Pelodiscus sinensis: one gene and its partners. The protein of the gene in region 3 purifies or fractionates together with the protein of the main gene of each other region. This does not show direct contact. Links are inferred from orthologs where the notes say so. Each region holds a gene or a part of one and is shown on either strand. Other genes may lie near its edges.

Region 1 (6,943 bases), on a different chromosome or scaffold from region 3:
ACAGGGTTAGCCTGATAACCAGTGTTTACACTCTGGAATCTGTATAGCACTTGTCATTTGGTTAAATGTTTTTATGCCCACTGTACAGGTGGGGAAGCTGAGGCATAGCAAGGGGGTCTCTCTAGGTCATACAGTGAGCCAGTGGTAGAGCAGAGAATGGACTCCCAGGTCTCTCTACCATGCTGTCTCTACACATGTCTACTGAGAGAAAAAGAGAGTAAAACACACAGCAAAATAAATCATAGTCAAATGGTCTGAGCACAGGCCTGGGAGCTAATTCTGTTCCCAGCTTTGACAGTGATTCATTGTTTGAGCTTTGGCAGTGCCTGCTTCGCCTCGTGCCTCAGTTTCCACATGCTATAGCATGTGGATCACAATACTGATCTCTCCTGAAAATGCTTGGAAGCATCAGTGTTGTGTACTGCCTCTTGAAGATGCTCCATCCGGACCTGACCTAAAGCCCCCTGAAGTCAATGGAAAGATTCCCATTTACTTCAGTGGACTTTAGACCAGGCCCTCCATCCAGCTGGAAGCCATCCAATCCCCTTTCGTTGTGTACAGAACTTGAACACTGTGGTAGCATGAAGCATCAGCTCAGCAGCCTCAAAACTTGCCAGATAGATAAGGCACTGCAGCAAAAGATTTCCGCTCCCTTTTCAAGCTGTCTCCACACCCCACTGGCTCACCCTCCATAGTTTCCGTCAGCCTGTCTGCAACCTTCTGCACCACAGCGCTCATGGTCATTTTGCCGTTCAGCAGCAGCTCCTCCACAATCAATTCACCCATGTCGCTGTAGAGGGTCTTGGCAGTATAGATGTAACGTGGATACCGCAGGATCCTCAGCACCCGACTGCACAGAGCTTCGTACTCCACAATGCCTCGCTTCTGCAGCTGGTAGGTCACCAGGTTATGTTGAATGAGGACACAGAGAGCTTTCTTAACCTGCACATGCCAGAGAAAGGAATGAGAGCCGTACTTGGGGGAAAATCAACCCTCATGCTTGAGGTCTGATCACCTCAAGGATCAGGAAGGGAATGCCCTCCCCTCCTATATTTAGGTGCTTTAGCTCCATCCATAGTCTCAGGAAGGGCCATTAATTTCCCAATTAGCACTGATCATTAACAATGAAAGATAAAGCTACTGAGCATTCACCAGATCATCTTTATTTGGAAGAGAGCAGGGTGATGTTTGACATTCCTCAGGGGCTAACAGAATTAAGAGAAGAAGAAACCTGGGAGATCTTGTCCTAATCAAGGCAGGGCCTGGGAATCTCAACTGTAGTCCTGACTCACAGTGCAACTTTAAGCAAGTAAGCTTCACTTCCTTATTCTTTACAAGCTGCACTAACTTCATCTCTTGTCCTCTCCACACTCTGTTACACTAAATTAGACCACCAGCCTTCCCTTCTGGGGAGAGGTAAGAGCTCAGAACCAATCTGTTAAAGCCAATGACAAAACTCCCATGGATTGCAATTGGTACTGTTAAAGAAACAGATTTGGTTTTAAGGAGACATGTTCAAATTCTAATTTGCCTTTTGCAAACGCATTTGGAATAACAGAATCCTTCAGGAGGCCTAGAAATGGTGACAGACAAGTTTTAATGAGCAAATAATAGTTCAGTCAGCTCTGCTGAGTAGCATTTATCTAGCATCTGTGATCCAAGGGAGGATAACTCCTAGCGGATTCTAGACATACCTGATCTAGCAACATCCCTGTGTCCTTGGCAATCACTCTCAGTGGCTGGCTGCCTGTTTTGATAAGGTGAGTCCCTATCTTTTCCACGATCTCGCCAAAATGTTCTTGCAGCAGGAGGGAACAGAGTTTAATTTCTGCTTGAGTCATCTTGCCGTCAAATTAAAATACTAGAAGGATATGGGGGAAAAACATTTATTAAAATTCTTATCAGGTGAGACAGGAGAGTGCAGGAAATGTGCTGGTGGGACGCAAAGATTTTCACCTCTCAAGTCGCCTGTTTGATTTGGTCTATCAGCAGAGACCAAAAGTTGTTCCCAATTCAGGCTTGAGAGGAATGCAGTGGGTTCGAGGCTCAGCTCAAATAAAAAATGCCTTCACAGCCAGTCCGCTTTAAGTCAAACCGGGCAGGCACGCAAGCACCCCCAGCAAGCACCGAATGAGCCACGGTGACGAAACACAGACTATCCCCCGAGATGATCCCGGCAGGGCAGAGTGGGGGAAACGTGTCACACGCTTCCCTAGGGCTGCGCCAGTTCCGCAGGGAATCGGGCTCGCCAGTGGGGTGGCCGGGTGTTGAACTGGACAGTCCAGGATTTGAGCCTTCTGTGGGGGAACCCAATGGAGACAATAGAACGGAGACAAGGGACGGGTCCGGTCTTTGCTACACGAGAGGCCGCGGGCATTGTGACGTCATGGACATTGTGACGTCACGTCCAGGGTTTCTGTGGAAACCACCTGGCAACCCTGCTGGGCCGTTGGGCGTTGATTTTAAAATGGGGCCTGCCCCGTGGGCAGCACTAGGGGAGCTAACGAACCCCTGGGGGGAGGGTAGCACGGGGGGGGGAAGGAGAAAGCGGCGGGGGGGGGGGGTCTAGCGAAGCCAAGGACCGGCGGGCGGGCGCCGAGAGCTCAGCAAACAGCCCTTCGCGGCTCAGCGGTGCGGCCCCATGGCCAGGACAGGGCGCCCCCTCGGCGGCGGGATGCTCGAGCTCCGCTGCCCGACCTTGGACGGTGACAGGGATGAGCCGGCATGGGGCTGGGGGGCAGGCCGCTCCGGCTGCCTTCATGGAGCGGCCTCCACAGTTCCTTGCCCCCCCCGGCCAGGCAGAGCCCCCTCCCCCGTTGCCTCAGGGCTCCCACTCACCTGGGATCTCAAATTGGGGAGGGGAGACGCCTAGGCCCCTGCGGCAACCATAGCAACCCCTTCCACTTCCGGCTCAACGCGGGTTACTTCCGGTCGCCTGCCATGGCTGCGATCCGCCCTGGAGGCCGTCAGGGCTACAGCGCCGCTCTACCCGCCCCCCGCCAGGCTCGTTGGTTGCGCATGCGCATCGGCGGAGTTTACGGCGCGACGCTCTATCCTCCCCCTTCCGCCTGGTCTCGCTGGGACTTGGGACACGGAAGAAGCGAGGGGCGCCGCTCTACCCTGCAGTTCTCTCCTTGCTCTGGCGTGGCGGAGGCCTGACTGCTTCCTACCCCGGCCCAGCGGAGCACCAGCGAGTAGGCGGAAGCGGGCGGCTAGAGCGGCCCCCGCCGCTCTATCCGTGCGGGCCCTAGTCGCGGCCCGCGGAGGACTGACGGCAGGCAGGGAGCCGGGGGAGGGGGAGAGAGAAGATGGCGGAGGCCTCGGCAGCGGCCGCCGTGTCCCAGCATCGCTTCTTCTGCCACAGCTGCAAGGGGGAGGTCAGCCCCAAGCTGCCGGTAAGGGGCGGGGCGCGGACCCCTCGTCCCCCGCGGGGGGGGCCCTGCACCCCCCATGGAGGGGGGCCAACCCCGATCCCCCCCCCAGGGGCGCAGGCCGGGGGAGCGTTCAGCCCCTGTCCTCGGGGCAGCGGGGCCAGGCGGGAGAGGCGCCGCCCCCGCCCCTCGCATGAGAAGGGGGGGCTGAAACCCTGTCACCGTGCAGGGGGAGGGGGCTGCACCCCCCCCCCCCATCTGCCCTTCACTAGGGAAGCAGGAAGTGCGAGGCCAGTCCCCAGTGTCCCGGGGGGGGTCAACTCCTCCCCCCCCCAGGTAATCCCTGGCCTGAGGCTTCTTTCCCCCCTCTCTGTCCTGCCCTGGGGGGCACTGGAAGGGGAGGGGGGCACTGGAAGGGGAGGTCTTCAGCCCCCAGTTGTCCTCCAAAGAGGTGACAATGCAAAGGGCTCCCTGCCCCGCTTCAGGCCGAGAGGTGAAACCTCAAGCTTCCCTGGCCACTAAGGTGTGGGGTAGGGATGTTAGATTTTGGTTAATTGACTAGTCGATTGACCTCATGAATTGTTATCGGTTACTCGACTATTCTATGGCCCCGGGGAGTGGGGCCGGCAGCCAGTGCGCTCTGGCCCAACTCCCAAGGAGTCCCCTGCCACGCCGCGCTGCTACCTCTGTATCAGAGGTAGCCATGTGGACTGCCAGGCGGGAGCTGGTCCGCAAGGGGAGCTGGTTTAAAAACCAGCTTCCCTTGTAGCCCCAAACCTTTGATACAGAGGCAGCAGCGTGGGGTGACAGCAGACCCTGTCCAGCAGGTGGGGGAGAGGGGGATCTGAGCTCCTGGACCCAGTGCGAGCTGGAACTGAGCCAGGCTGCTGGCCCCGGCTGCTAAAAAATGTACCTGGGAGGCTGGGGGGGGGAGAAATGCGTGTAGTCTATAGCATTAGTCGATAAGGTTTTGCTTATTGGTTAATCGACTACGCTATTACATCCCCAGCTGGGAGGGCGTATATCCTAATCCTCCCTATGGAGAGAAGGGGAAGAGACACTTGTAGGCACATCAGGCACTTACCCCAGAAAGCAGAAGGCACCTCTCTCCTGATGCTCTAAGAGCCCCTTTGGGAACGTAGGGATGGTTAAACCCTTCTGAGAGTGGAGATAAACCATAGCTCACCCTTCACAGTGGCTCCAGGCCTGCTAGATAGCAAGGGCACCCATTCTCTCTAATGTTGCAGGAAAGCCTCAGGGGAGAGGCTCAGTGGCATAGAATTGTAGAACTGGAAGGGGCCTCAAGAGGTCATCTAGCTCGGTCTACAACATCAAGGGAGGACTCCCAATTCCTACAGTGAGAAGAGCAAATTTCAGTTCCGCAGACCAAGGATAAGTAGAGGCTGAAGCACCGGAGCTCCTCCTCATGCCGTTGGAGAAGAGTTTTCCTTTTGAGTACCCTCTCTGGACATGTGTATCCTAGTAAAATAGTCCTGTATCTCGTTAGAGTTGGTGGTATGTGTGGTGTATTAGATGGACTGTCACAAGCAACCCCGGCACTTATGCAATAGGATGAAGGAGGTGGGTGGACCAATCCAATCTGTGGTCTCCATTTAGATCCAAAATGGTTAGTCAGAGGTTGTCCTTATGTTCCTGATGTTCTAGTTACATCACACACCACAGCTTGGCGACTTCCTGGCTGTGGAGATGTCCTGGCGAAGCAGGAGGCTATTTGAGGAAAGGAACAGATAATGTAGCTTGGCCAGATTAGATCAGACACATAATATCTTTTTTCCTGATATATGGGAACGTGTGGAGATTCTCTGTTGAAAGGGTGCCTCAGTTTCCCCACCTGTAAAATTAGACTATCTACCTACCTCCTGAGAGAGCAGGTGTAGGAAGATTGTAAGGCTTTTAATATTTGTGATGCACTTTAAGATTCTTGGATGAAAGAACTTAATGAAGAGCAAGCTGCTGTAGCAAAACCTCATCAATCTGGATCCTGAAACAGATGCTGTCCTCCAATTCCTGGGTATTTCATAGATGATGGACAGCTTTTAGTTATCCAGACTGATTCAGGGTCATACTGACATTTAGGTAAATGAGATGGTGCTGTACTATTGCTTTTCCCTTCTGCACCATGAAAGGAGGTAAGAGGATGCTTTGGAGATTTTTGTTTTACTTTAAAAATCATTCATACATGACAGGAATGATGAGCCAGAAAATTTCATTAGCTTCCATTACAGGTAGCTCACCCCTCTGCAACTGCATATAGTCCTGTTGAGATTGGTGCTTGTCCATCCGAAATGCAAATTGATCCTTTAGCTCTCTGTTTGCAAACTCACCCTGCATCCCCTCAAGGTAGTAGCCCAGCTTTCTGGTATTTTCTCTTCTCTTTCTCCCTCCCAAATCATGTTCGACTCCCTCTTTATGCCTCTCGCCTCTGTTGCTGACTTAAGCAGTTTTCTCTCCTATGTTACAACTGTCCTTTTGTTATAAAGCAATGCTGCCCTAAATTGCTCACAACTAATTCTCTTCCGTAACTGGGATTCAGGATTTCCTGATGCCATTAGTGAGTTTTTTGGAACAAGAACTCCGGGCCCATGTATGAGATACATTGTTCAAATATTCACAGTATAAACATGTGAGCATTGACTGCCTCTTTTCTTTTGCCCTGTTGTATATTTCTATAAGCATTCCTACCCAGGCCTCTTTATTTCTAAGTCAGAGTCTTCAGTTTTGCTCTGCATGGGCATTAGACATCCTGGACTCTTTATAAGATTAATGGTTTGACTTGGCTTTTATTGTTATAATTAGGAGCACCCAGAACCCTAACTGGGATCAGGGCAGCATTGTGCTAGTCCTCTCCCACTCTGTAGTTGGGAACTGTGTTGTTCTCTTGAACAACTGCTGTCTTCACCCCGCGGGAGATGGTGTGTCACAGCATTCAGGTATTCTGGAGGATGATATGGACTCTAAAAATGTGAGCTATTATTACCCAGACTTTATAAATAATATGTTCAGGATTTATACCTGCCAAACCAATGAATTGTTTCACTTTTTCAACCTCTCCAGTATTGGGGTGACAACCTCTTTATCTTCTGCTGTTCCTGTCGCACACAACCTGATGGGAACCTGCTTGAATTAAGGATCACCCCTCTTTCAGTCAGCTCCTCAAGTTCTGGGGGGAGCAAGAGATATCCCATCATGCTCCAGACAACCAGTAATGTCATGACAAGGCAGGTCAGGGCCTATTTCTGAAGTAAGACTCTCTTATGCTCTTTTGAAAGCCTGTCATTGTGAATCAGCCTGTGTAAACTTTCCTTAAGGAGCGTGAAACTGGGAGGATAACTCTTTAGTTCTAAAGTTGACTTGGGCTCTGACTCGCTTTGTAGCATTGGCCATGTCACTTCCTTGCTTTGTGCCTCAAGTTTCCCCATCTGTAAAATGTGGCAAGCATTGGTTTCATGGGGCAATGGGCTGATGTTTGCAAAGGGCTACATTAGGATTTTATTTCAGATCTCTGAATTGTCCAGTAGAAGTCCACGGACCTGTTTATTTCTAGGGTGAGG
Region 2 (6,931 bases), on a different chromosome or scaffold from region 3:
TGCAAAAACCTGTAGGGGAACATTTTAACCTGCCTGGGCACTCATTAATGAATTTAAAAGTAGCCAATGTTCTATAAAGGAATTTCACTAGCCAATTCCAGAGAGAGTGTGTGGAATCCACATTCATCTGCATATTTGACAATGTTTTTCGGGGATTGAACAATGACATTATCTAAATGTCGCATTATAAAGCCAGCCCTGCCTGCATTTAACACCTCATTTTTACATCAAAAGCTAGGTATAGGACACATCCAGCCCACTTAATTAGCCTCATCAGCACCCATCCTACACTTGACAGGTATCTATTTTTTCTCCTCTTCTTCTTCTGTTATAAATTCTCCAGCTCATCTGATGAAGTGGGTTTTGCCCGTGAAAGCTCATGATACTGTCTATGTATATTTGTTAGTCTCTAATAGGGATGTAAGCAAAAGCTTATCGAATAGCCGACATACAATAAAAGCCAGTTCTTCCCAGCTCCAGCTCTGTGGAAGGAGGCAGGGGTGCAGTGGCATTGGTCCACCTTGGAAATGTGTAAGAGCCCTGCTGAGGCTCTTGTACATTTCAAAGCAGAAGCACCCTATGGAGCCAGGGACCAGCCAGGGAATCAGCATCCCCTGCTGGCCCCAGGCTCCCTTCATTTCAACCTTGAAATGTACAAGAGTCCCTGCTGGGGCTCTTGTGCATTTCAAATGTGGAACACACATGGCACTTACACCCTTGAAATATATCAATAGCTGGGTGGGCTCTTGCTACATTTCAAAGCAGAAGAGCCCTTATCGACTAATCAAATAGTTGATGGAAATTCCATCGATTATTCAATTAGTTGATTAATCTAATTTTAACCCTAGTCTCTAAGGTGCCACAGGCCTACTAGTTTTTAAAGTTATACACTAAAGGCTACGTCTAGACTGGCCCCTAATTCCGGAAAAGTCATGCAAAGCAGGTAAGTCAGAATAGGGAAATCTGCGGGGGATTTAAATATCCCCCGCGGGATTTAAATAAACATGTCCGCCGCTTTTTTTCTGGCTTGGGGAAAAGCCGGAAAAAAGTGTCTAGACTGGCGCGATCCTCCGGAATAAGGAGGAAATAAGAGATCCTCCGGAATAAAGCCCTTTTCCGGAGGATCTCTTATTTCCTCCTTATTCCGGAGGATCGCGCCAGTCTAGACACTTTTTTCCGGCTTTTCCCCAAGCCAGAAAAAAAGCGGCGGACATGTTTATTTAAATCCCGCGGGGGATATTTAAATCCCCCGCGGATTTCCCTATTCTGACTTACCTGCTTTGCATGACTATTCCGTTTTATGGGGCCAGTGTAGACGTAGCCTAACATAGCTACACTCCGAGACTGGTGTTTATTTTTTAGTTACAGCAAATTTAGACATTACTTGTAACTCTCCTAGCTGCAGAAGTTTCTTAGTAAAATGTAACTTTCAAGTTGTCATTGTCCCTATTTAGTGTCAGTACTACAGCTTGAACATAAAGACTAATTATTACAGTTTCCATACACAAATACATTTTGCTGATTTACATTTATGCAGAACAAACCTTGTTTTTCATCTTTGCTTGGCATAAAATAAGGCGTATTTTTCATACTTCCTCTAAATTCTTGCTTCAAGGCCAACATATAATCTTCTTCTTCTCCCATTTTCAGAGGCACTGGCTTAAAACCTGTTGACTGTGTAAATTAAGGTACATAATTGCATTAATATCCATCACATACAGCAACACATAAAACTACAGAAAAAATGCCTCTACTTATGGAGGAGTTCAATTATGTATTATACTAGTTTGCAAATATGTTTCACTGCATTCTGACAATATGTTCAGAACTTTATAATGCATATTTTTCAATTAAATTGTAAAAAGGATTTCTTTCTTTTTAATATATCCATCATGAAAACCTCTATTAGGAAAGGAATAAAACAAGAAATATCTAAAACATTTTTAACATAAAAACATAACATTCTAATTCAATTGACTTTAGGTCAGTGAAGGTGCACATCACCATTCACTCCACCCGCCCCCCCTTTCAAATGTCTCAGGCTAGCTGACTTGCTCTGAAGCCCTTACTGCTGCTAACTTCAGTGAGAGCAATTTCAACAACACCACTTCCCAAAATATGGTTCAATCTATGCTAAACATAATTAATCTGACCAATATTTTAATCATGTTAGTTATCTCCTGGACAGCAATACAATTTAACAGGTCTCAAAAAAAAAATCATCCCACTGTGGCCTTGTCTAAACTAGAGAACATGGGATCTGTAAAGCTCTCACAGTGCAGCTCCAAGACAACACAGTGTAAACACCTCAATTCTTATAAACGGTCTCTCTCTGCTGTTGAGATTTCTATCTCTGGGAACACACAGAGACGTGGATTAGCTACTTTCAAAACTGATTTATTAGATTTTTTCCATCCATTTAACGGTTCATTACCTAAATATGAACATGAAACACTTTGTTCAGACATGCAACTTGTTCTTAAAATGAAGCTTGTTCTCTTTACTTACAGGAAACAACGGAGGGGGCTTGAATGCTACTTCAGGTAGCGTTTCACCTTTGGAAAAGCCAATAGCCTCGATGTTGAAAGTAAATGCAGCACGTCCTCTTCCTTTTCCTGACCCAGCCATTTGGAATTACTGAAAATATTATTAGATTCTAGTTGCATCACAAAAAATAAAGCCAAAAGTAAGATGGAAAAAAGTCAAAGACTGAGAAAAGGTATTTTTACATTGCAAGTGTCATACCAATGATGATCTCCAGCTTGGAAAAAATGTGGGTCTGTCTAGAAATCAAATGGGACTCCAGACTCCATTTTTAGCTATTAATCAAACATGAAGGCGTTTTAAAACTGAGACTGTGGGAATTTAGTTCTGTGGGGCTGGGCGCTCAGTTCCAGGCACAATTTTAAAAGATGGGAACACGTGTCAGCCAGCTCCACCCCCGGCGACGCTGCCGCAGCCCGCAGTGGGGTGGGGCGCCGCGCAGGCTCCTCCTGGGGGCGGTGGCTTCGCAGTGCTGGGCTCGCAGCGGCCCGGCATGTCGGCGCTGGAGTGGTACGCGCATAAGCCCCTGGGCGGCGGCATCTACTGGATCCAGGAGCGGTTCTACGAGTCCGGCAACCGAGCCAACATCTGGCTGGTGCGGGGTTCGCAGCGCGACGTAGTGATCGACACCGGCCTGGGGCTACGCAGCCTGCCCGACTACCTGCACTCGGCCGGGCTGCTGGGGCCGGGCGCCGGGCCCGGGGAGGCGGAGGAGGCAGCGGCGGGAGGGGGCAGGAGGCCGCTGCTGGCCGTGGCCACCCATGTGCACTTCGACCACGCGGGCGGGCTGCACCAGTTCGACGAGGTGGCGGTGCACAGCGCCGAGGCGGGCGCGCTGCTGCGCGGGGACAACTACGAGACCGTCACCTGGCTGTCGGACAGCGAGGTGGTGCGGCCGCCCAGCCCCGGCTGGAGCGCCCGGCAGTTCCGAGTGCAGCCCGTGCAGCCCACCCACGTCCTGCAGGAGGGTAAGGGGCGGGCGGTCAGCGCTGGGGTGGGGAGCGGGGTATGTTCATGGCGGGAGGGCAAAGCTGCACAGACACTCCATAGGGCACCTGCCCTATTGGGGGTGGGGAGGCATATAAGGCGGGTGAGTTGGGCATGTGTATACGTGCCTGTGCTTACACTTAGGTCACTAGCTGCTACGTGTCTGTGTGTAAGTCAAGTGGGGCTGGGGTGAGTTGTGCGTCTCTGTCAGACAACAGTATGTAGGTGCATCACTGCGAGTTGGATCTGTACAGTACTTGAGGGGGGTACTGGGTGTGACAGTACATCGGGGTATGTCTGCCTTACCGTCTGTGGGAAGGAGTGCATATGCTGCGTTTGTGTCTAATCAGTGCGTGTCCATAGATGTGCATGTTTCAGATCTGCATCTTTAACTTTGGGTTGTGCAAAATGCTTCTAGACTGAACATCGGTTTATATACACTGCGTCATGTTTATTTGTATCTAAATATATATATATCACTTTTATAGTGTTAGTATATTGTACTTGAATCTAAAACAATTTTTATGTAAAGGGGTATCCTCACTGGATCTGTTATGCTACATTCCACATTTGTGATCTATGTTTGTACCACATATAGTAATCAGTTAATTTATAATAAGTGATCAGGATGTATGTTTATAGTGCATGTACATCAGTGTATTTCAGGATTCAGCTAAAAGGCTTGAATTTTTTGTTGTTGTTGCTTTGGGTTTGTTGGCTTTCTATGCCTGTCCAAAGATCTTACTTAATACTACTAACACTATAAGTCTGAAAGAATTTTGATTTTGGTGGTAAGTATCAGGGGGGTAGCTGGGTTAGTCTGAATATGCAAAAGCAATGAGGAGTCCTGTAGCATCGTATAAATTAACAGATTTATTGGCCGCATAAGCTTTCTCCCATGAAAGCTTATGCTCCAATAAATCTGTTAATTTATGACTATAAGGTGCCACAGGACCCCTCGTCGCTTTTGGTGGTAGTTTACATTAGGGATGTAACAGTGTAGTTAATGAACTGATAAGCAAAAGTTTATTGGTTAATGCTATGGACTAATGGACTACAAATCTCCGCCCTCACACACATGCACACACTGGGCCAGTAAATTTTTTAGCAGGCTGGTCTGCAGCCTGGCTTAGTACCGGCTTGCGCCAAGTCCAAGATCTACCCCTGCTGCGGCTCTGCATTTTAAGTGTATTAGGAGCCAAGCGGGCATGCAGCCCAGCTCAGTTTCAGCTCCCGCTAGATCTGGGAGCTCAGACCTCACCCTGGGCAGAGGCTGCTGCCACCCTGCGTTACTGCCTGTGTCTCAGAGGTAGCAGTGCAGGGCGATAGGTAAGTTGGCCTGCAAGGGGAGCTGGCGTCTAAACTGGCTCCCCTCATGAACCAGCTACCACCTGACACCCCACGCTACTGCTTTTGATTCTGATTATCAGAGATTATCTGATACTGAGATTCACTAAAGGAAGATATTTATCAACTGTATAAGGCAAAAATTATTCTTCCACATCTGTTACAATTCGGACTTTCCTGCAAGATATCTGGGGATTAGAGGGAGAAAGTGATAATGCTTTGCTCTAGCAATCCAGATAAAAACACACACTAAGTGTTTTTCCTCTCCCATGGGAAGCAGGCAAATCAGGAGCTGATAGCACTGCCAGGAATGGCATCACCTCCCTGTCTTGCATCTTCTGTTACAGGAAGTCTTTTTACTGCAGATGAATGGACTATGGATATAAAGAAGTTTGGAGAAGATGTGGTGATGCATTCTTCCATCATGTACAGCAGGGATGGTCAATAGATAGCTCCGGAGACAAAATTGGATTGTCAGATGCTTTAGAACAGGCATGTCAAACTCGAAGCCTACTGAGGGCCGCACAAACGAAAACGGATAGCTCTCAGGGCCACCAAAGAAAATGTACTTCTATCAGAAAGTCATAACTGTTTATTATAGATTAAGTTTTAGGTATATTTTATAATTTTTTTTCAGGTCTTGTTTTAATATAACACAATTTGTTGTGAAAAATTATTTGCCCATGTGAAATAACTTTTAATCTAATATATAAAGGAGAATGTTTGTATGTTTGTGCTCTAATAACTTGGACACTAAGAGCTACTGCAACCAAACTTTGCATAGGATAACCTTTCCTTCGGGAGAAGGTTTTAAGGTACTGTGGGAGGGTGTGACGGGGGCTCCACTTCCCCCCACACTAGCTCCGCTGGCGGCAATGCGCTCTCAGGCTGCTGCTGTTCTGGGCCTATGGCACTAGCACAGAGGCAGCATGCGGAGGACCGCCCTCATGGTGCAGGCGTGCCTCAGCTGGCGTGCAAACCGGCGGGCAAGTGGACCCAGGGACAGCAGGGATGTCGGCGTGGAAAAGGGCGCTGGTGGTTAAAACCAGTGCCGGGCCAGACATGGCGGGGGCGGAGAGAGAGAAGAGGGAGCAGGGTTGGCTCTTTTGCATGCTGCCATTTCCCCTTCCCTTCCCTGCCACCTCCCTAACTACCTGCCTGTGTCCCACCCGGAGAGCCCCCTGCTCCTTCCCACCCCTCACCCACCACTTCTTTAAATTTCATCTGTGCTCCACACAGATAGTGCCCCACTCCTCCTCTCCCTTCTCCCGCCACTTCCCTAACTGCCAGCCTGTGCCTCACATAGAGAGAGAATCTGATTTTCTTCCATCACATCTGTCCCAAGTACCACCCTATCTAATATGTAAAGGAGAATGTTTATGCGCTAATAACTTGGACACTATAAGAGCTACCGCAACCAAACTTTACATGGGATAACCTTTCATCCAGGAGAAGGTTTTAAGGTACTTTTGGACCCAATTGGGGTCCTGCCCTGCCCCCCACAGCACCTGTGGCCCTGGGCAGGAGCTGGGGCGCCCCTCCTACATGTAACCTCCCAGGACTTGCCCCCTCCTGCCCGCAAGGTTACATAACCGACCCTCTTTTTCCCCCCCTCCCACCCCTCTCCCGCCGGCATGCAGTGCCCCCACCCCCATGTGCACAATGGCTCAGGCACCTGCCCTGCCCCGCCCCCCGTGGCACCTGCAGCCTCAAATTTTGCACGGGGCGTCCCTCCTGCGTGTAACCTCCACTCCACCCGGGGTCACTCACCACCTGCCACCATCCTCCCATCCAGAAACCAAAACCAAAGCCTTTCTGCTCAGCTCATTGGGCTTATCTGAGCAGAAGAAATCCGTGTGCCTGCTGCATCGCAGGTAGGAGGGGCCATGTTAAACCCTCAACGTGTTACACTGCTGTAAAGTCAGCCGGCTGCTGTTCATACTGTGAGTGGGGCTCTTCTGGGTCTGGTTCCAGCCATTGGAGTTAGATGTGAGCTCTGAGCTTTTGCTTGCCAAGATTGGGCAGGTGGATCCCTGAGCCAACCTTGCAAAGA
Region 3 (8,023 bases):
TTTCCCTAGTACATGCCAACATTACTGTATTGGTGTTAAGTTTACCAATGATAGTGTGAATATGGGCTTGCAAAATAGAAACATTTCAGAATTAATGTGATCCAATACTTAAAGATGACAGTTTAAACATTTGTATTCCTTGGAAAACTAACTTGGATGCTGACTTCCATTTCCTTAGACAAACAAAAAAAAAGTTACCTATTAGAGGTCATATTGTCCTTTAATTAAAATTTGGAGACCTAATCTGCTTTTTTTTTTTTTTTTTTTTAATATACAGTGGTTGCACCTTTGATCTTTAGAGGTGCTTAGGCACCTCTGAATTGGGACTTTTTAAACCTCTGATTTTGAAAGCATTTATGCACAAGAGTAGCCTTATTGACGTCAATGGAACAATTTGAGTTTAAAGTTAAACATATATTTAAATGTCTTGCTGGAGCAGGACCTAAATTTCAAAAGCGAGTAATGGTTTTATTCACTGACACTGGATGCTTCAGTTTTCTTGGGTCTCAAGTTCAGCATTAAAAATCACTGATTTCTAAAAATTTAAGCCAAAAGCTATTAATTCCATATGAATTAGGCCAATACTGCAGCTTGAAAGTTGACCTGAGACCTTAGACTCATAGGCTGTGTCTACACTGCATCCCTTTTCCGGAAAAGGGATGCAGATGAGACAAATCGGAATTGCAAATGAAGCGGGGATTTACATCTCCCCCGCTCCATTTGCATGAACATGGCTGCTGTTTTTTTCCTGCTCGGGGCTTTGCTGGAAAAAAGCGTCAGTCTAGATGGGATCTTTTGGAAAATAAAGCCTTTTCCGAAAGGTCCCTTATTCCTGATTTTTAAGAGGAATAAGGGACCTTTTGGAAAAGACTTTATTTTCCGAAAGTTCCCCGTCTAGACTGGCGCTTTTTTCCGGCAAAGCCCCGAGCCGGAAAAAAGCGGCAGCCATGTTCATGCAAATGGAGTGGGGGAGATGTAAATCCCCGCTTCATTTGCAATTCCGACTTGTCTCATCTGCATCCCTTTTCCGGAAAAGGGGTGTAGTGTAGACACAGCCATACTGTCATGAATGGGCTTTGGAGCAGGCCCTATAAAGTCACTGAGGTCTTGCAGAGACTGTTGAATTGGACCTTTGATATAGGAATAAGCTTCTAGAAGTCTACACAATGTACACACATTATTTTGCATCTCTCACATTATTGGAGATGAGTGCTGAAATATTCAATGTAAAATGTTTCTATCTTGATCAGAATTAATCAAATATATAATGATAGTATTTGAGACTATTATAGTGAATTAGTCCTATTTTTAAATGTCAAAAATATAAACTTTGTCTGGTACAAGTTTCCAAGTATCTTCCTAATGTTTTATATACAGTATATTTTTAATTAAAAATAAACTTTGCCCATATAGGATTAATGTGCCATACATAATATATAAAGATACAGTACAACTGGTGTATTTCTCATGAAGATCTAAAACATCTGGGTATTAGTAGCACTATGGGTTTTAGTCCAATCTCCTTTTTTACAGAAATAGGCTTGTTTGTTTGAACAGGGAAATATGCTTTTTAGACAATGTCTCAGACTAGTACTGATCTCCCAGGAAAAACAAAGCAGGATTTTTAATTTTGTTTTTTGTTTGTTTCCATGTGGGACTAAGCAATAGCAGACCCATGTATTAAGTGAACATTCTTTTGGACACCTGTCAAAAACTACTACTGAAATTCTCTCTATGTTCACATGGGAGTGAAGGGAGACTAAAAGGTCTCAAATTGCAACACTTCTCAATGACTCCTCACGCCATTTCATCTTTATACCTTGTTAAAAATATCGCATCAAATAGATGAGTACAGATTTTTCAATTTGAGAAACTCAAAATTGAAAGGAGTTCTTACTTGCACGCTTGTTACATTGTGAAGTAGTACATTGTTATCTTCATGAATATGGGGCTTACATACATAATTCATATGTATCAAGAGACGAATATATCCCAAAAGCTGAAAAGGAGAGTTCTCTTAGTAATTCCCTAACCTTGGGAAATCTAAATTTGTGCGCTGGGCCTAAAGAAAAGATTTTATTTTTAACATGTACAAAAATTGTATCGTAACACTTTTTTATCATAGTGATTTATCTTTCTAAACTTCCTAGAAAAATTTTCTACACAAAAAAAATTTACTTTGAGACCTGTTGGAACATATTTTAGTTTAGAAACCTCTAATCTCTCTGGGAAATTGTCACTGTAACTTCCTACTAGAAAATGAGGATACAATAATTTGCTTGCATTTGACTTTTTAAAAGGGCATTTTATAGCATGGTATATGTTGGTGATGACTTAAACATTACAATTAGGATACATTTTAATAATGATTTGGATGTAGATGTTTCTTCTAACTTTTGTCTGTTACATTTGAACTATGAGCATGCAACTTCCAATCTGAATTTTGTTTCTTGAAAACAGGCAAATTATGTAGCAGCAGCTTTAGTAGATGAAGTACAAATGAATTTTTGTGATGTGCATTTTTTTGTAGGCATTAAAAGTTTATGATAAACCTTTGGTGAGAAGTCATTCATGCAAGCTGCTTCTCAGTTTAAATGTAATGCATTCAGCTATTTGATACATTATTGCAAAATGAATCTTGACACAAACCACAAGTTAAATTAACTGGTAAATAGAAAAGGATGAATGATGTATTAACATAAATGTAAAAATAAACACTGAATACAGGTATATTAAGCTATATAATTGTTAAAATAAGTGTGTGTTGTGTATAAACACACACACAGAGGCCTAGTTTAGTACAACCCCCCCCCCCCCCATCTTAAATTTTTTTGTAAAGGTTATATTTAGTTTAAAATAGTTTTTTTCCCCCCAGGGATTACCAACCAGTCCAAACCAGCTTTTCTTGAGGAAAAATAACTAAAAAAATGTAAATACAAAACAAGACTGTAACTGATTATTTAAATCAAGGTTTCCTGTTTCTGAGTTAAGAGCCCATCAACTGCATGGATTGATTTATTTCCCTTTTAAATGTTTTCATTCATATTGTAGGTTAGATGTCTCTGACCTAATGCTTCTAGAAATGTTTACTATAAAGCAGCATCCATCACTTGTAAAACCAGTTCACAACATGTCAGTTTTTAAAGAAATAACTCTGGTCCAAACTAACTGTTAGTTTAACACTATTGACTTACACAGCCTTCAGAATTCTAATAGTAATAAAACAGTTTACTGCAAACTCCACAGCCTGCTTGGCCTTGCATCTTTAACTATCCCACTTGGTTGTCATCTATCTGAGGAAAACAACAGCATGCACTAATGATTCTATTTGTTTTATCCAAAGATGTTAAAAACTGGGATGTGTTTTTAGGGGGTATGGGTGGAACTCATTACCAACAAAATATCACTGAGGACAAGTACTTAAGATTAAAAATGGATGATAAGAACATTCGTAGTTGTATAAAGTAGGATAAAAGTGTTAGGATATCTAATCTCCTCCTTTACAGAATAAGCTAACTACTAAGTTTAAGAAGAAACTCTTCCCCTGGGGCAAGTTATTATGTAATTTTCAACCGTGGTATTCCTTGCACTTTATTCTGAACATCTGGTATTGGCCATTTATGAGCACCAGACATGATATCAGAATAATGGAACAGAGGATGTGGCAATTCCTGTATTCCTTACTCGTTTGCATAGTAGAGATCCTTGGGTGCATCAGAGGTGCAAACTATTATTGAAATATGACTATCGTCTTCTTAGAAAGCATACAGTGATTTGTTTAAGTCTCCAGTGTGACCTTGCTTCTGAATGATGCCTAAACATTATTACATACATCTTTTAACACAAGATCAACATAGGGACTTTTATTGTGCATGTTGATGCTTCTAGTAAACAGTTGTTTTATTCAACTGGAAAATCCACCTCCACTGAAAGACAGGAATGTGATTTGTGTGTATTCTTCTGAGCTTCTCTTGAGAATCCCAAAAATCCACATATAAGGCTCAATACATTGAGTCGATAGGTGGCCTTGCAATTCCAAACCTAAAAAGTTCTTGAGGAAAACTGCAATGCTTGTTGTGGAGAGTTTTGTGATTAAAGTACATCAGTGTAGGATTCAGGAGATGAGAGCAAATCACTTTTCTTGTTCCTCATTTACAAAACGGAGATTACAGTAATTTGTTACCTCACCACAGTATTGTGAACATAAAATTGGAAATAACTGAAGTGCTGAGAGCACCACAGCATTAAAACTGGAAAAAATATCACGACTGTTGCATACTGACATTGTCGCTTTGCAGAATATAAACTTACCCTTAGAAGATAATGGGACTGCATCGGCACTTTCAAACCTTTGTTCTCTGCAGAAGGTCAAAGTTGGAGTTTGTTGGTTTGCCTAGTATTTGAGAGACTATTTTAGTTCTTAACCCTCTGAAATCCTAGCCGACTGCTAAGGGGGGGGGGGGGGAAAAGTGCAGACTACAACTCTGGCTCATTTGTTCTTCCCGACTTTACAGAGACGGTAACAGCGGCTTTCCCATGCAATACAGTGTCCAGCAAACAGTAACCAAGGGACTCGTCTACTGGAATAATATTGCCACACAATTATGCAGGGGCTACGTGCTGGCTTTGTACCAGGTGCGTTCCGACGGAGCCTGCGATGCTCTGCCCGGCACGATACCGCGCCCCCTGGTGGCTGAACAGCAGAAGTTTAACTTTCCGTGGCACATGCCGCACTCAACCCCCACCCAGGCCTGGCTGGGAGTGTGGGTGGGATTGGGGAGCTGATTTTAGAGGAGAGCCTGCTGCACCCCTCCCCCCACCCCAGGACGCTTCAGTGGGACATTTTCACTCAGGCAGCTTCCGGGCCCCTGAGCCGGGAGAAGCTGCTCGCACAGTGCGGGCGCGTTCCCCCCTCCCCCGGGCCGTTAAAAGAGACGGAACGATTCCGCAGCGCCTCTTGTTGTAGAGGGGGCAGGTTTCGTCGTCGCACAGCGTGTCCCTCGCGGGGAGCGTCCGCCAGCTGCCGTGTCCCTCCCGGCTCGCCTCTCTGCCGCGCTCGCCATGGACGCGTTAGCGGTAGAGCTGGGGACTCTGACCCCGGAGCAGGCGGCGGCTCCCGTGAACACGGTGGAGGTGAGCGAGGGGGTGAAGGCGCCGCCAGCCCGCAGAGGAGGGGCGGGCCCCGAGCAGCGGAGCCCCCGCGAGCTGTGCCCCCTGCTGCGCATGCGCGTCGCCCCATGGTGCGGCTGCAGGGGGCTTTCGGGGCTCTGGAGACCGAGTCCCCGAGTCAGCTGTGGCGCATGCGCGGGGCTCCGCCGGCTTTTCCACGCTGCCCAGTTCTCTCCCAAGGGAGGGAGCTCGCTCTTCTAGGCTGGCTGCTTTGCCAGGTGGCCCCCGGGGCTTGGGGACAACAGGCACCTGTATAAAGCCCCACATGTCGGGACTCGTCCCTATAAAATCAGGACATCTGGTCACCCAACTTCTCCTGCTAACCATCATCATAGAAACAAGCTGATATCTAACATCTTGTGCTAATTGAGGCCACCTCTTCTTCAAGCTGCAACTTTGCTGTGTGTGAAATTACCCCCGCTGAGATATCAGGCACCACCATAGCACGTGAGCAACATAAAAGTTGCTAGCCATAGCAGTGTTCCTCCCGGACTTTGTGGCATTTCTGGTACTTCTCCTCCTTCTTCAGGGTAAAAGTGCTGTCTGGGTTTGCATTTTTAGATTTTAATCCTCTGTTCCTTTTTTTGCTAGTGGCTTAGTGGACAGAAGGGAGGTGTCAGAAATGTAGCCTTTAAATCAAGGTGCACAATGCAAAGAGCTCAGCACTGTATTCCATTGCAAGGTTAACTTGTTATATGCTCCCTTTGAGCCTCATCTTGCAAGTAGGATAGTGATAGAAATGTAGCCGTGTTAGTCTGGGGGTAGTTGAAGCAAAATGCAGGACAATGTAGCACTTTAAAGACTAACAAGATGGTTTATTAGATGATGAGCTTTCGTGGGCCAGACCCACTTCCTATTTGATCTGAGGAAGTGGGTCTGGCCCACGAAAGCTCATCATCTAATAAACCATCTTGTTAGTCTTTAAAGTGCTACATTGTCCTGCATTTTGCTTGCAAGTAGGGTGAGCATCTTTTCAAAATGCAAAAAGAAGACGCATGCAAGAACCCTCCCTTTTGCGGGTCCTCCACTTCCACCAGAAACCCTCCTCCAGCCAGATTGGAAACTTGGAGCCAACTGTGCTAAGAGCTACCCAGGGATCTTTGGTCACTATGGGGAGCCCTAGACCTTCCATCTGCCCTGAATGGGCAGCCAGAGTCCATAAGAGTGGTGCCAAACCTGTGTCCCTGCCCCATGGGGTGTGCTGCCCAGGAACTGGTGGATACAAGGTCTGAGTCTCCAGGGCTCCACACAGGGACCTGGGCTCTGTGAGCAGCTCTTATTACTATCTAGCACCAGCTTCTGGCGGGGGATGGGGAGGAGGAGCAGGGGGCAAAACCTTGTGGAGAAAGAGAGCTTCAGCCCACCTGACTAAATAGGCTGACGCTATCCATAAGCCTCTGGTAGGTGCAGAATGGCACCATGGGAATCATTTAGCCTGGAACCAGGACTTGAAACGTACGTTGGTGGGACTGTGCCATCCAGTTAGGGAAGGTGGTTATCCTGCCTGGGGATGTTGGATGCTCAGTACTTCATGGAATTAAGCCTATATGTAGTAGGCACAAAAGGGTTGAGGCTGCCACTTGCACACTAGTTCCATCATGATTTTATTTGCTCTTGTAGCTGCCCTGAAACTAATTTTGTGCCAGTTTTACTTGTGACGTGCATGAGTTTATCATATAGGGTAAACCATGCAAAGTTATAACTCTTTATTGAATTCACCTTCCTCCACATTCATGTTTGTTCAAACTACTACAGTAAACTTCCAATAATCCGGCACCTTTAGGACCCAGGGGGTGCCGGATTATCAGATATGCCGGAGTATAGGAAGGGGGCCTATGAGGGTCTGGGTGGAGTTGGGGGGCTGTGCCCCTCGGCGCTGCGGGACCAACCCGGTAGCACCCCAGCTGCTCTGCCCCCGGCTTCCCCGAGTCAGCCACTGGTTAGTTTAAGCAGCGGCTGAATCGGGGAAGCTGGGGGCAGAGCAGCTCCAATGGTCCGGCTGCCCGGAGCACTTCCGAGTTCCAGATGATGCCGGACCATCAGGAGTGCCGGACCACTGGAGTTTTACTGTACATACCAAAATAGTTTGTCATAAATCCTGCTGTATCCCTTTTAAACATGGGAGAGGGGAGAGGGGAGGGAAACAGAACTTGATTTGAATTCAATTTTTCCTCCCTAGATTTGAAATGTAAACATTAAGTTGCTTCCCTTATTTTTTATGATTTTTGCTTTTCTCTTGTGGAATTGTGAATAACAAAGTTGTACTAAAAATCTTAAACAACGAATGACGGAATAAAAATTAACTAAATTTCATGTCTTTGAAAGCTAGTGAAACAATATATCTGGGACTCCACACTCCAGTATACATATCCATGACAATTCTTTTTTATTTATTTGAAGTTAATTTTAGAATTGAATTATTTAATGTTAAGAATCTTTGCTGCCTTTGAATCTTGAAATACTTGTAAAGTTAGACATACTGTCAACCCACAAGTCACATTTGTCTGAATATTTAGAACCTATTTTTTAATTGTAGTAACATCTGAGATTCCTGTACAGCTGAAACACGTTAAAAGAAAAAAGTCTTTTATGTTTTCACATTTGTACATTTGACAGCAATTTGTGTTTGGCTGTGTATATTAGTATTTGTAGGATTAGGACCATAATTCTCTCTCTCGCTGAAAAGACCCTGATAAACATCAATAGGAAAATAAAACATTTTTAAGGAGTGTCTCTTTTTTTCTTTTAAAAAATTAATCAGGACATAGTATTTAAATGGTGTTTTCTTATAAGCTTGTATTTTATTAAATTAGTCAGTTTAAAAACATGTAAACTGTGTTCCTTCAAGTATCTT
Region 4 (6,972 bases), on a different chromosome or scaffold from region 3:
CATCCGGGGTTGCATTTGTTCTTCCACTTTTTTAGTGGAAGAGCAAACAGGCTCTTTTGGTCACCCCTATATTCCTCTTTCCACAAGGAATAAGGTGGCTTCCAAAAGAAGGGTTCTTTTTCTGACATTTGGTCCAGTGTAGACAGGCCAAATGTTGGAAAAACCTCTTCCTACAGAATAATAAAAAAAAAAAAAAAAAAAAAAGCAGCAGTATAAGGATTGGGGATAGCAACTGACGGAGAGGAGGAGAATAGAGAGGGCAGGGCTTCAAAGAAGGGGCGGGGCAGTAGATCTTGGCTTGGTCTGTCATTTAAAAAGTGATCTTGGGTATAAAAAGGTTGGAGACCACTAGACTATTAGAAACCAGATTATTTTCAAAGGTGTAAGCATGAGTGTATATTTTACAGAATTAGAAATTAGTATTTCCTTTCTGCTTGTCCCAGTTCATAGAGTAACTCAGTTACTAGTGAAAACATCAGATAACGAATACATCAATTTTCAGTTCCTTTAAGGGTAAGAAATGTCTAGAGGATTGCTTTCAATAGAATATTAGTATGGTAAGCATATAAACATTACCTGATATTACCTGTATTACCTGATACAACAATGAATAAAATTAAATGCAATTAGATTCAGCCATTTAAAATGGGAAGCCATACAGACAGCTCTGAGCCAGACCTATTCAACAGAAATACAGTAATCAGAAGAAGAGTTCATGAACAATGGAAAAAGTAAAGGAATTAAATTAAGATAAACATTGGGAGAAATAAAAGATACAATATACAACTTAGTAGATGGTGCAAATACTATTTTTAGGTAGATTCTGGATTGCTGAAGGTATGTCCATCTAAAGAGCTCACTGTTATTAGTTAACTACATTTTAACACATCCCCTCCCCCCCCAAACAGCTGTAGGGTAATACATGCAAAGATCTCAATTTGCCTACAACTAAAACACTGTTAAGCGGGATGGGGTAAGCAGCTGATTAACAGCTGCTCAATTTAGAACAAGTAAAAAAATTCCATCTAATTTAAATTGCATGTAGCATTTAATGAGCAAGAATTCGATTGCCCCAAGTTTGAATTCAGCTAAAACAATGAGGTAACACATCTGTTCTCATTCTATGGGATCTTAAGATGGCCACAAGTGGACAGAACCTCAGTTTTGTGTCTCATCTGAAAGCTAGCATCTCCAGTTCCATAGTGCCCCCTCAGATATGGGTTCTTAACATGATTTGCACAAATAGATCCAGCAGCTCACAATTAACCTGCTTCTCTTTATGGCTAGAATGGAGGGGCCCCTGAAATTACTGAGGTACAGGGAGACCTGAAACATTTTTCTGGTGCAACATGGGGTCACGGTACACACAGAGATGGGAATCACTGTTCTACTAATATGCAGAAGCTCTGGTTCATAACCACTAAAAAGGGAAGAATGACATCTTCTGAATTAGCATTGTCACTTCCTGTAGCACTCAGGTTTTTCTTAGAGGTCTCTCATTCAAACACTGGCCCAGATCCTGATCAGGTGATGTTCAGCACAATGCCTATGTTAGTTTGAGAACTACAGGAAGACAACTGTGTATTTACAAGGTTCTCTCCTTCACTTTCTCCTTTTCAAAACCACATTCTGTTAATTAACCAAAACATTGGGACTGTGTGCATCAAGGCTTCTATTTCCAGTAATGGTTACTTCAGCCAGGCAGTACATGAACCTTAACATTTCCATAAATATCATTTGTGTACTAAATGTTAAGCTTGTTCTTTCAGTGTCAGGGTAGCTGGATGAATGAAATTAGTAAATAGCTTCTCCCTAACCACAGCATAATCAAAGAAAACCCAGTGCAAAGGGTAGGTCACCTGGTCAGTGAGTCAGTGAAAGCTCCAAATTACAGGCATGACACATCGTGCCTGGTATCTGCTGGGCCTTCATACTGGATGCCACCCTCTGCTATAAGAAGGTTTTTAATTATTTTTTCCAGCAGCTTGTAAGTCTACTTTCTCCCAGCACAATAACAGTAAATAGGGAATTACAGCAAAACATGTCAATTTAGCCAGCTTTTAAAACATAGGTTTAAACTATTGATTGCAAAAATCCTGCTCTGAGCAAGAATGACTTGGTAGTTTGAATCAGGATGTAAAGCTTTTCCTAAACAAGCCACAACACAGATGGCCAGAAAGAGGTGCATGTACCTGTGCCATTCACTACTCACTCTTCCAGGACAGGGGAAGCAGCTGGAGGGGCAGGAGTTATCAAACTCTGCTTACTGCTTGGGGGGAGGTAGGAGAAGAAGCCTCCCCAAAGAGATGGCCGATGTAACCACTTCACCTCAGGGAGAAGAGATTCCACACCTATCTACAATCTCATGTTAAATCTGACTCTTTCCTAGTCCTGGGATACTCTAAAGGCAAAGAGAGACGGTGCCAAGTCTTTTTTTCAATTCTTAGCCCATAACTAGACTTTGGTGTGAGGCTGAGACGACTGATGTAACCATGCAGCAATCGCACGGAGGGGACACTGCACGCCCCCCCACATACACAGGCGAGAGGCAGAGAGGAAGACTGATTGATTGATTACAAGCAAACCGTGTGAATTTCAGCAGTCATCCCCGCATCATTCCGGGGGAGGGGGGGAGATATGCAGAGCATCCCCAACCCCTGCCCAGCTATTCCCAGGTCCCCCTCCCCAGGCAGTTCCCGGCGAATGAGTTCAGACTCCGGGAGAGTTTTGAGCTCAAGCCCAGGAACTGCAGCAGGCAGCGCGCACCCCAGCCCAGGCCTTGCAAAGGAACGCGCCCCGCAGCAGCTGCAACGCCCTGCGCAGCACTAGGGGCCGGAGCCATGCACCACACAAGCCCCCCTACCTCGTGGCGCGGGGTCCAGGGGCAGCCGGTCCCCCCCTTCGGCGCGTTGCAATGGGTTTGCGGGTCCCGGGGTCTCTTATGCAGCAGCCATGTTGATGTAACTCCAGCAGCAGACACGTGGGGAGACTAGTTCCTCCTCTTACCCACAATGCTTCCCAGGCGGGGTCAAGGTTCTCCGCGTGGCAGCAGGCGGCGCTGTGCGGTCCCCTGCAAAACACAGAAGCACAAAAGCTTTCTGGCAGCGGTGGGATTCGAACCCACGCCCCCGAAGAGACTGGAGCCTTAATCCAGCGCCTTAGACCGCTCGGCCACGCTACCGACATGGGATGTAGCTCTTCCTATAGTGTATTCATTTGATGGTTCGTATTTTTTCCCTTATAATTTTCCAATACTGTAGCTTCTGTATAGTCAGAAGCTTTGGAGGTATATTCAATTATGGAGAGTCTTTCACATAGAAATGAAGGGCTTGAATGCACTTGCTTCCATTATAGATTTTTTTTGTTTAAAAATAGTTTTTTTCAGAAGATAAACTATTTTGCAACTCAAGTACATGAATAAGCTCAGATCACTGATCTAGATAGATAGTAAGAAATAATATTAGCAATAGGTACAAACAGGTAAGTTTGGCTAATCAGTATTTTTGCATTTAGATTGCATTAATTAGAGCAATCATTCCAGAGCTCCCGAGCTGCTTGAAGTTCTGGAGGGATGTCCCATTGCTCACTAATAGTGTGGGCATGTCACTGTTCCAATGTGAAACAACTAAGTATAAAAATGGGTGTCAAACTTTTACAAAACTCAGTATCCTAGTACGGCAGTGTAATAATGTGATGTCACTGTGTATCAGAGAATTGTCATACAGTAGCCCAATGAAGCTTCTGTTATATAATGCCACAGTGCAGCATCAACCCAAAGTTTTGCAACATTACAATGCAAATATCAAGCCTTTGCAACATCACAATGCCATGAGTGTGAATTGTCCCCCCATAAGGGAGGCCTGCAATTTGGCAGGAAAAGCCTACATTTCTGGTATCTCTTGCCCGGGATGTTCTAGTTTGATGTATTTTTTTCTTTCTTGAACAATTCTTGCTGAAAAATCAAAGCCTGGTTCATTTGAAAAGCTTATAGCCTCTAGGCATTTTCTTCTCACTGCTGTGTGGTAAAACAGCCGTCTAAGAAATATAATTTATGCAATCATGTGCCGAAAGTGTCCGTCTGCTATGTACATTGGACAAACGTCTCAGACACTTCACCAAAGGATCAATGCCCACAAAACAGATATCAGACAGGATCACAAAGAAAAAACAGTTTATTGACATTTCAACCAGAAAGGACATTGTCTCAATGACTTGATTTTAAGACTTCACTTGAAAGAGAATCCTCTGAACTGTTATTCATGCTTAAATTCGACACTTTACACTCAAGTGAATAAAGACGCTAATTATCTTCCCCATTACAAAGATAGCTTCCCCAATTATCACCTCTAATATCATTAGCTCACAGACATTTACCTCCCTTCATCCATCCCCCTTCTGTTCTGAAATTTGATTTGTCCTTTTCATATGTGTTCATTTTTTTAATTGTGTCCTTTGGTATATATGGTTGTGACAATTTTCTTTCACTATTTGATCTGAGAAAGTGGGTCTGGCCCACGAAAGCTCATCACCTATTAAACCATCTTGTTAGTCTTTAAAGTGCTACATAGTCCTGCTTTTTGTTTTGTCTAAGTTCATAGCATTACAACAATGTGAACCTAATGCAGAAAAAGAGAAAGAAGAAGGGCATACTGGAGACTGGTACTTTGAGTTGGTGTCTGCTGCGGAGTCTCTCTCTCCACATAAGTGTGTGGAAGATCTAGAGCCAGTTGATGTAAAACACACTTTCTTTCCTTCTTTCTCCATCAGTGGCAATGTGGGGGCAGGGAGACTGTGTCTAGACTGGCAAGTTTTTCTACAAAAGTAGCTGCTTATGCGGAAAAACTTGCCAGCTGTCTACACTGGCCGCTTGAATTTCTGCAAGAACACTGACTTCCTATTGTCTGAAATCAGTGCTTCTTGCGGAAATACTATGCTGCTCCTGTTTGGGCAAAAGTCCTTTTGCGCAAAGCTTTTGCGCAAAAGGGCTAGTGTAGACAGCTCAGATTTGTTTTGCGCAAAAAAGCCCCGATCGCTAAAATGGCGATCGGGGCTTTTTTTGTGGAAAAGCGCGTCTAGATTGGCACGGACGCTTTTCTGCAAAAAGTGCTTTAGCGGAAAAGCGTCCGTGCCAATCTAGATGCTCTTTTCCACAAATGCTTTTAACGGAAAACTTTTCCGTTAAAAGCATTTGGGGAAAATCATGCCAGTCTAGACGTAGCCGGAAAGTCTGTTTAGGGAAAGAGAGGGTGGAAAGAAGTCTGCATGGAGCAAGCCCATTAAATTGTAATCCACCATGATTTAAGTCTTTAATTTGGGCAGTTCATTTAAGTGGAATTCTGGTGCAACTCCAGAACCCTCTTATTGCCTGGTCCACCTGATAAATTCTTAAATTCCTTTTAATGCCATAAAGTATCTGTTATCTTCTAGAGCCCAGCCTTTCCACTGCCACAGATCTTTCTCCCCGCCCTACACACAAACCTATCTCCCAGCTTTCGGGCCTTCTTTCTTCCTCAGAAGGTATACTGTCCCTAGTCTGGGCTGCTGATGCTTTTCAGGAAGTGTTAACCAAGATACACCCATGTCTACTTGCTTTCAGTACTGCTGCAGCAGTCTCATACACTCAAATGAATTCCTGGATGCTATTTACAATCATTTATCTCAATCAAGCTCCTTTCACTTACAGTGAATTCAGTTGGTTTATTTTTCACATCCCTATGTGTGAGGAGAATCAGGTTTGCAGGCTTTAACTGGTCATACAGAGCGATTCACCAGGTCCCTGGACTGCTTAACAAACAGGCAAAAGAGTATATGGAGACAGGCTGGATTACTAACTTTTCCATGATAAAGGAGGTGAATGAAGCATGCATTTACACTTCTCAAAAATGGCTGGAAGAGTCCAAATTGACAGCCAAAACCTCAGATCAAATTTGTTCTCCCTGCAGAAAAGAAGTTCGGCATGTACAATTTGTTCAGGATCGTTATACTAAACAGGTTACTAATACCATTTTATACCTACTATGCTATTTATCAGCAGTCCAGCTTGCTTCAGTTCACATCACAGGGAAGGCTGGGCTTTTAGGAGCAGTTTCTGCTCAGTGTCCAGGGACTTTAAAAGCAGAATGGGACCATTGCCATATTTATGTGAGCTGTGATTTCATCATTTCTCCCAAACTAAAAAGGATTGGGTTGTATGTTTGCCAAGAGTGTCACTGAGGATTCAATAACTGGCACTCTTTACACTGAATCAACACTGATGCAGTGTTCCAGAATGGTGTTGAGATCACACTGTCCTTCAGAAGAGATGTACCCCTACAACTGAGACTCTGACTGAGCCCAATTACATTCTGCCTGCCTGCATTCCTAGGTGTTTGAACTAAGGGAAGGCACAAGCAGGCCTGGGGCGCATAGTAAGATTCCAATTTTTCTCTCCTTTCCTTAAGCAATCTCTTAAAGTGCTAGAGATCAAGGATGTTTTTAACAGAACACATTGTCCTGAATGTCCTAGTCTTTCTTGTGTAATGAAAGCTAAGTTGTCTTTTTTCTATAAGAAACTCAGCCTAGGAAGAAATACCACACAGTATCTGATCTGTAACCCTGAGGTGCTTTTAGGATTACAACGTGTTTGGGATGAAATTTCCTCAGATTTTGAGTGTAGTAATACTTTGAGCAAAAGGTTTGCCTCAGGTACCAATTATAAAGATGCATAAAAAGCCCTGCCTTCTCTCACACCAGAATTATGAGATCAAAGTTTCTCCTTCCTTGCACAAACACAATAGAGCTCTTTACCCACCCTGCCTCTTTGTCAAATGGGACTGAAAAAATAAGATATTGGATGTGAAGTGTGGATTGCACTAGTAGAGTTATGCTGAAGAAACATAGTAAATCTGTGTTTGGATCAAAGACTTACACATGGAAGATGCACCCTTCACCAAATCTGAATTTTGAAAAGCTAAGGCAACCTTTAAATCAGCT

What was found. Proteins that work in one complex are often made in the same cells at the same time.
Region 1: the proteins of POLR3B (region 3) and POLR3C fractionate together in Homo sapiens (co-fractionation; 4 studies listed by BioGRID and IntAct, with this or other methods). This does not show direct contact. The link is inferred for Pelodiscus sinensis from reciprocal best matches to the Homo sapiens genes POLR3B and POLR3C.
Region 2: the proteins of POLR3B (region 3) and POLR3G fractionate together in Homo sapiens (co-fractionation; 4 studies listed by BioGRID and IntAct, with this or other methods). This does not show direct contact. The link is inferred for Pelodiscus sinensis from reciprocal best matches to the Homo sapiens genes POLR3B and POLR3G.
Region 4: the proteins of POLR3B (region 3) and POLR3E purify together in Homo sapiens (affinity purification with mass spectrometry; 8 studies listed by BioGRID and IntAct, counting the BioPlex papers as one, with this or other methods). This does not show direct contact. The link is inferred for Pelodiscus sinensis from reciprocal best matches to the Homo sapiens genes POLR3B and POLR3E.

The regions. Positions count from the first base shown.
Region 1 is NC_134734.1:19,515,883-19,522,825, forward strand, and holds the start of POLR3C (DNA-directed RNA polymerase III subunit RPC3), read right to left. Parts: upstream 3,021-6,943; 5' UTR 2,839-3,020; intron 2,487-2,838; exon of another isoform or gene 1,957-2,486; intron 1,862-1,956; 5' UTR 1,842-1,861; coding exon 1,695-1,841; intron 943-1,694; coding exon 687-942; intron 1-686. Other genes in the region: E3 ubiquitin-protein ligase RNF115, read left to right, coding at 3,309-3,395. UniProt on the Homo sapiens protein: DNA-dependent RNA polymerase catalyzes the transcription of DNA into RNA using the four ribonucleoside triphosphates as substrates.
Region 2 is NC_134716.1:74,580,645-74,587,575, forward strand, and holds the start of POLR3G (DNA-directed RNA polymerase III subunit RPC7), read right to left. Parts: upstream 3,021-6,931; 5' UTR 2,730-3,020; exon of another isoform or gene 2,638-2,729; 5' UTR 2,629-2,637; coding exon 2,509-2,628; intron 1,675-2,508; coding exon 1,545-1,674; intron 1-1,544. Other genes in the region: acyl-coenzyme A thioesterase MBLAC2, read left to right, coding at 3,038-3,512. UniProt on the Homo sapiens protein: DNA-dependent RNA polymerase catalyzes the transcription of DNA into RNA using the four ribonucleoside triphosphates as substrates.
Region 3 is NC_134711.1:96,922,681-96,930,703, reverse strand, and holds the start of POLR3B (DNA-directed RNA polymerase III subunit RPC2), read left to right. Parts: upstream 1-5,001; 5' UTR 5,002-5,061; coding exon 5,062-5,133; exon of another isoform or gene 5,134-5,134; intron 5,135-8,023. UniProt on the Homo sapiens protein: Catalytic core component of RNA polymerase III (Pol III), a DNA-dependent RNA polymerase which synthesizes small non-coding RNAs using the four ribonucleoside triphosphates as substrates.
Region 4 is NC_134726.1:22,731,328-22,738,299, reverse strand, and holds the start of POLR3E (DNA-directed RNA polymerase III subunit RPC5), read right to left. Parts: upstream 3,021-6,972; 5' UTR 2,864-3,020; intron 679-2,863; 5' UTR 596-678; exon of another isoform or gene 577-595; intron 1-576. UniProt on the Homo sapiens protein: DNA-dependent RNA polymerase catalyzes the transcription of DNA into RNA using the four ribonucleoside triphosphates as substrates.